2 linked regions of the Danio rerio genome follow. The protein of the gene in region 2 binds, or shares a complex with, the protein of the main gene of each other region. Links are inferred from orthologs where the notes say so. Each region holds a gene or a part of one and is shown on either strand. Other genes may lie near its edges.

Region 1 (3,661 bases), on a different chromosome or scaffold from region 2:
GTTTTGATGTTTTTGTGCTGGTACCTTGGCAGATTATCATTGATAGACCTAAATAAGCATGACACTAAAGCCTTTTGCACCAAGATGATTATCTCGCATGATTATTGTTGACGTTTAATGTCTCATGTCATCACTAAGGCTGGACATAAACTACAAGATAATTGAAAACATCTAAAACAAATGCTGGTGTTAATCATGTTTATGTCAATATTAGTCATGTGTAAATTGTGTGTAGTGTTTTGACAAAATGAGTCTTAATTTCAAAATTGTGCTTAAGCAATCAGAAAGAAATGTAAAACGGCTTGCCATAGCAGTACATACAGTAATAGGTAGCTAAAAGTTCAAATTAAGAATCAATGAACTTAGCGAATTCTTACCTGTTTAACTCCTTCTCTTCTTGGCCGTCAAGTTTATAGTTCCACACTATATTAGCATCTTCTTCTACTGCTATCTTCTTCTCCATCCGGTTGCCAGTCTTCTGAGGCAACTGGATCAAGTTACTGTCCTGCTTGAGCTCCTCAGTGTCCTTCATCAGTTTGTCTCCTTCTTTAAGTCTCTTCTTGGGCAACACTGGCTGGACCGTTGACTCTTGGCTCACGCATAGTTCTATTGAAGCTCCCAGACATGCATTCGATGCATCAACATGTTTGAAGTTTACTTCAAGCTTCTTATTTTCATCTTCCAGCCTTGTTGAGTGTCCATCCACACATGGAGGAGGTGGAAGGTCTCGATTCTGGATGTGAGCCGTCTTGTCTTCAATAATGGGGTTTTCCAGAACCTCCATCCCCTTTCCAGAAAGCATACTAAGGAGAGGAGATTCAACCACATGGTCTGGTCTCAAGCTTTGGCTCCGAGTGAGGTTGGCCTTGTCTTTGGACTTGCTCTTCTTCGAGTTTTTGTCCTTCTTCGAATGGCGTGGCATGGTGCCCATGTGTGTGTACATTTCACTGGAGGTGGCATAGCTTGGGCTGCGTGGATGCATGCCCATGTCGTCAGTGGACATTTCTTTGACTGATTCGTCATCTTTCTGCGCATCTGATTTCCGCCGGAGGTTGGTGAGGCTACCAAACCACTTGAAGCCTAAGAAAGGAGAAAACATTTTGCGCATGTTAAAACAGATTTGAGTTTCATAAAGCGTTCTGTGGTGAAAAAGGAGAGATTGCAACGTCCGCTGTGCACCCTGTCATTCCAAGAGTTCCTTTAATGTGAGAACAAAATATGCAGGCTCATAAGTAAACATACAAGCCCTGACCTTGTCTGTGGGAAAACTTCATCGGCCCCTTTAGTCTCTAAAACAACCATATGAACAAGTCGGTTTCTCATAAATGAAGCCAGAATATTTCCTACTGATTAAAATGATAGCATGATGCAAGAGCAGTGATTATGATGAACAGGGGAGGAAATTAAGACTCTGTGAAAACAGGAAGGCGATACTTAAAATAAAGCTTTATCTTAAAAAAAGCTTTTTTCATATACATGTTTTCTTTATCACTGTTGGAACTTATGTTCATTTATCTTAATAATTATAGCTCACAGAGAACTATCACTGTTTAACCCCATTTTGGTTTTGTTTTCTTGCCTAGTTCAGCGGTCTTGTCCAGACTGAGTTTATTCAGACATTGGACAGACTGAAATAAAAAACATATTGAATTATTAATATTGATGTAGTTCTTGTGTATTTTTGGAGATGGGGTAAAGAAACACAGCCATGTAGACGTATAATTAAAGGAAGAAACATGATGTGAGGCTATACTGTATTTTGCAGTTGCAAATTAATAAATCTTAAAGGGCACCTATTTTACCCTTTTTTAAGATTTAAGATAAGTCTCTGGTGTCTCCAGAATGTTTCTGTAAAGCTCCAAAAACCTACAATAAACAGCACAGTGACAGACATGAAAGCGGCAGATCTCACGTAACGTTTGCGAAAAAATACTACAGTAAGAACTTTCTCATGGATTATTTGATGGATTTGTTTTGGAGTTAATTCAAGCCTTTCTGCAACAATGAGTCACACACTATGTCACACACAATTGGGACTGAATTGTCTTTTTTATAATTGTACTGACATGCTGCTGTGGTGTGGTCTTTAACTGACTTTATTTCTTTATTTTCATAATATATCTAATGCACTGTTTTAAAAACGTTTTAAAATTGTAAAATTTATTATTGATCACATTTGATCACAATGATCACAGCGAGCTGAACAGATCTTTTAATTCCAGTTAAATTGCACACGTCCTGTCCTGCTGATATGATTATACGTGTTACTACGGAGACATGTTAATACATGGCTGTCAATAAATTCAAATCAAACTCAAAATAAATTTAATTAAAAACAGCACAATTTATGTTTAAAGCTAGGAATCAATTACTTCTAATATGCATGCAAAAGATTTTTGAAGAAAGACAAGGGTATATAATCTGAGAGAACAAAATCTTTTTTTAAGAAGGTTTAAAATAAGAACAACTTTAAAAAAATTGTGTATGTTTGTATGTGGTGTGAAATTATGGCACAGTCTGGAACAGATTCTTAAACAATGTCAGGAAGTTAATCAATTAAAAAAGTTTTATAAATATATATTATTAAAGTAATATTTTAATTAATAGAGGGGAAATTATAAAATGAAAAAGGTATCATTAAATTTCAATTAATGGCTGTTTGCAATACTATGCAATTTTTTTAGGTTTATGTAATAAAACGTAAACTTACAAATGGAATGAAACATGTAATATGTCAAAGATGCCAAAAGGAAAAAATATTTCTCATGTAAAGCTCATATGTCTCATGTAAAAAGAAAAAATAAGTAAAAGAAGAAATAGTTGAAGTAATAGACGAATGATGTGTGTGGTAATGGGATGGGGAAAATAATACACTTGTGCTTCATCCCACTCCATTTCGACTATGTTGAAATGTAAATCAACCCACTGAGTTACATTTTTTATAATGTTTTTAACCAAACTGTTGAGTTTTTTCAGATTTTTCCCGGGTTATATGTAGCAGTGTTTATAGTGATTTGATTATTTAATTCGAACAGAAAAATCATACAGAAAAACTCTTTAACAAAAATACATTTCAACATGGTCGAAATGGAGCAGGATGGAGCACAAGCTTATTATTTTTTCCACCCTATTACTTCTGTAATGTGAAGTAAGACTGACAGCAGGGTGTGCGGATCCAAACGTAGGTTTTATTAGCAGGATGGTCAGGCTAGCAAAGGTCAACACAGGGGCAAACAGATGTACACAGGCAATCCAGAGTCGAAGTCAAATAAAGAAGCAAATGGCCAAAAGGCTGGCAGCAGACAGGAATAAACAAACAAAAGAAGGGTCTAAAACATGGCAGGACAAGGCAAGGGAAACCGTGTCATAATGTTCACTATACAGTTTACAAGACTTATGCCGAGTTCAGACTGCATGATTTTCAAACTAGTCGTGTCACAGATGTTTTCACACTGCATGACTATCTGGGCTATCGTTTCGTCGCTGCTTTGTTTACACTGCAAGATGGTTCGGCGACATGGACATTCACATTGCATGACTTTACTATAGGGAGAATCGCCGACAACTTCGTCCAAACTACGTCTCACAGCCAAAAACATGTAGGATATCTTTTGTTATTAACTACCTTTAATGGGGTAGAACATGTACATGTTTGTTCACC
Region 2 (3,761 bases):
GTGCAATCATTTTATTTAATTTTTTTATTACATTTTTTATTCTATTTTTATTTAATTTGATTTAATTAGCTTTTATTCATTTTTTATTATATTATATTATATTATATTATATTATATTATATTATATTATATTATATTATGTTTTATTTTATATTTTTTATTTAATTAAATTTTTATTTTATTTCATTTATTTGTTTTATTAAAATTGTATTTTATTTAGTTTTATTCTATTCTATTCTATTTTCTATTTAATTTGATTTTCATTTATTTTTATTTAATAATATATATGTATATAAATATATATATAAATAAATAAATATATATATATATATATATATATATATATATATATATATATATATATATATATATATATATATATATATATATATATATATATATATATATATATATAATTAGTCTTTTTAAGCTTCATATGTTTTTTTTATCAGTCTGTTTTTTCTCTGTAGTTTGTGATGCATCTAAATGATTGTACTTTAAAATAGAGACAGGAAATTAATCAAGAACAAAGTTTTGCTTCAGCAATACTCTGAATAAATAGCTATGTAAATAAATCCATAACAAAGCTTTCCATCTCAATCTTCCCAATCCTTCCTTTTCTGAATTGATGGTACTTTAATAATTCAGGCAAGATATATATTGAGATAAAACAGGTTAAACATTTCCAAACACTGCAAATGTCAATAGAGAGTTAAACTTTTGTCTCCTTGAGAATGGATTTACTGCTGGAACAAAAGGATGGGCAACAAAATCAGCAAGCCAAAAAGTTGAGGCTGAAGGAAAGGGTCTAGACAAAGCTGTGTGTTTGTGTGTGATGGCCAAAAAACCCAGTATGTGTGTGTGTGTTTCTCAGGTCTACAGAGAGGTTCACTAAACATTCCTCACAGGCAGGGGGAGGAAGAGTGTAAGGCTCATTAACATAAGAACAGAGTCCTCGGCCAATCGGCAGCAGGGAAAGGGAATGTCAGGATTGAGAAGGAACTGGGAGGGTGTCAGGTTTCCCTGTGCATTCTTCCCTCCTCCTTTTGCCGGAGAGGGTGGGAGAGAACGAGCGCAGGAAGGACGCAGTGAGAGAATCAGCGACTTCAAGAGACAGAAGTATATGGGACAGTCTCGTTCTTGCCCTCTGACATCACGGAATTGGAGTATGTGTTAGAAGCTGACTTTCTGGGAGACGCGGAGAGGTCTGACAAAAGAGTGGACGGTCCGAGTGGGATTTCTTCGGGGGTCAAATCTCAGGCAGTTTAGTGCTGTCTGGAGTCCCAGAGACTCGCACGGCAGGGCTGAAAATGAATTATCTGGTGAGTGTGCTTGCTGTTCTCATTGTTGTGTGAGCACTTTAAGTTGGTTATGCGAAATGCCCTCGGGTGATACTTTCTGAATCAATGTCTTTGTGGACAGCAGAAAAACAAGAGAGTCTTCAAGATTGGCTTTTATCAAGTTTTCTGTCTTATTAGCATTATATGATTTGTTTTTATGGCAGCAGGAGATCAAGTAGCTTGAAAAGCTCTAAAAGAGGCAGTGTAACACTTTTTTGAGAGGCTAGCAGTATATATTTGAAAATGAGTATATATTTCTATTCTTGAAAAGAAAATATTGAGCTTTTTCTTGAGTTTTGAAAGCTGTGAGAAAGCAGGCATAACAGGAGGACGAGTGGACGGAAAAGGAACCCTGCCACTGTTAGCTTCTTCTTTGCTGACTCAGGAGAACGCTGGAAGATTAAGGTTTTTATGGAAAGAAGTATGGAGAAATTTTAGGGAGAAAAGAACAGCGTGACGTGACGGCCGGACCAGTGAAGCATCCATTCCTTGCCATTGTTTGAAATTGCTGGCTCTTGTTCAGCTTGTAAGAGTTGAGAATGACACAGTGCTTAGGTATTTGGACGTGAGAGTTGGGCTGTGCTGTGTTTCCGTATGAGAGGAATCTGGTTCTGGGATTCACCCCCTGCAGAGGCCGGGATATTCCCTGGTCATTAAAATAGACCTTGAAATGGTTATGGGCAGTTATTAATGCAGTTCAGACAGATGATTCTTGGAGATGAGAATTTAGGATTTTCTAGTTAATTTTATTTTTGAAGGCATTTATTATTTTTAATTTGTCTACATATATTGGAAATCTGTCAGTTTAGTCGCTTATTCCATCTGGTGTTAACACGCTTTTAAATGTGTCTTATAAGCAAGTTTGTTATGGTACACTAAAGCTAAGTATGACACTTTGAATTGGTTCACTTTTTTAAATGCATCCTATAATGATTACGTGATATGATATGTAGGTAGTAGCAATAAATGGATGGAAAACCCAAACATTAAAATTTACTCAATATTTACTGACCCTCAAGTGAAACTTTATAATTTTCTCTTTTTTACTTTTTAACATAAATGTGAATATTTTTAATAAATACTTGAAACCCCTATCCATTACTATCCATGGTAGAAAATCAATTGCTATCGATTTCCAACATTCTTCAAAATATTTTTTGTTCAACATAAGAAAGAAATGTATGATTTTTATTGTATGTATATATATATATATATAAATATATATATATATATATATATATATATATATATATATATATATATATATATATATATATATATATATATATGTATATAGAAAATCTGTGAATTGTAGTCCGTTTTCCACCTAAATGTCTCTATGTTACAACACTTACAAATCAGCATGTTATGCTGTTAATGTTAATAAAGCAAAGTATGACAATTTGTATTTGTTTGCTCTTTTACAATGCGTCCCATAATGATCACAGGATAGGCTGGTAGTAGTATTAAAGTGATGGTTAACCCAAATATCTACATTTTCTTAATATTTACTGACCCCTCAAGTGCTCTCAAGTATTTTCAAAACATTACCATTTTCTCTTTTTTTTTTTTTTTTTTTTTTTTTTTTACTTTTGAACATAAATAAGGATATATAAAAAATACTTGACATCTACATTAATATCTACAGTGGAAAATAAATTGTTACTGGTTTCCAACATTCTTTAAAATATGTTATTTTGTGTTTGATGTAAGAAAGACACTCATAAAGGTTTGGATCAAGTGGAGAATGAGTAAATAATAATAGAATTGTCATTTTTGACTGAACTGTCCCTTTAAACTGGTTTATACTGGTTTATACTGGTTTCTCCTGAGGTGGTCCATGATGAAGATGAAAATGGGTGATACGTACTATTGTGAGTGCATAGACTGTTGACTTATTGAGATCATTCTTTAGGTAACCAGGCTGAATCAGTTACTAAGTTAAGAATGTTGAGTCATGTTTTGTTAGGGATCTTTAAATAAGAGAAAGACTCCTTCTTCAGAGGACAGTTGAGTAACCTGAGTCCATCTCTCCCCGTGCATCGCCTCTCTGACTCAAACCCTGACTCACCCTGCAGCTCCTCAGTTTAGGAGAGAGGAATTCCCCACCACTGGCCTGAATCCCACACACTGTCCTGGGGGTCTGACGTACAGGACCAGCTCCTCATCCTCATTATCCTCATACTCGCATGCATACAATCAGCATCAAGTTGTGTAGAAGTAGCGCTGATCTAGTCCAAATTCAGCTCATTTGGTAACATCATGTATAGTTGACTAAAAATAATCTAAGCGCTACAGGAAAACATTTACAGAAGTTTACCTAGAACTAAAAAGGTTGGCAGGTGTGATCAATACTAGAATGTTTTTAGATTAATACTTAACAGAGGAGTGTGCTGATTTATCTAAAGCCATGTTTCCACT

The links.
Region 1: the proteins of bcar1 (region 2) and sh2d3ca are in contact, whole or in part, in a crystal structure (PDB 3T6G), measured with the Homo sapiens proteins. The link is inferred for Danio rerio from reciprocal best matches to the Homo sapiens genes BCAR1 and SH2D3C. Residues at the interface, in NP_055382.2 of Homo sapiens: Ser739, Gln742, Phe746, Tyr747, Gln750, Asn754, Val779, Ser782, Lys783, Ile786, Leu787, His790, Val793, Phe794, Ile795, Asp797, Thr798, Arg801, Gln802, Ser816, Asn817, Cys820, Leu823, Arg824, Val827, Lys831; in NP_733745.1 of Homo sapiens: Thr543, Val544, Pro545, Val547, Gly616, Val617, Arg618, Glu622, Thr625, Leu626, Pro627, His628, Leu749, Leu752, Leu753, His771, Gly772, Val773, Glu774, Val776, Leu777, Leu780, Glu781, Ala783, Arg784, Ala787, His788.

What each region holds. Positions count from the first base shown.
Region 1 is NC_133185.1:10,826,201-10,829,861, reverse strand, and holds part of sh2d3ca (SH2 domain-containing protein 3C), read right to left. Parts: intron 1,081-3,661; coding exon 378-1,080; intron 1-377. UniProt on the Homo sapiens protein: Acts as an adapter protein that mediates cell signaling pathways involved in cellular functions such as cell adhesion and migration, tissue organization, and the regulation of the immune response.
Region 2 is NC_133193.1:23,996,912-24,000,672, forward strand, and holds the start of bcar1 (breast cancer anti-estrogen resistance protein 1), read left to right. Parts: upstream 1-1,085; 5' UTR 1,086-1,310; coding exon 1,311-1,322; intron 1,323-3,761. UniProt on the Homo sapiens protein: Docking protein which plays a central coordinating role for tyrosine kinase-based signaling related to cell adhesion. Implicated in induction of cell migration and cell branching. Involved in the BCAR3-mediated inhibition of TGFB signaling.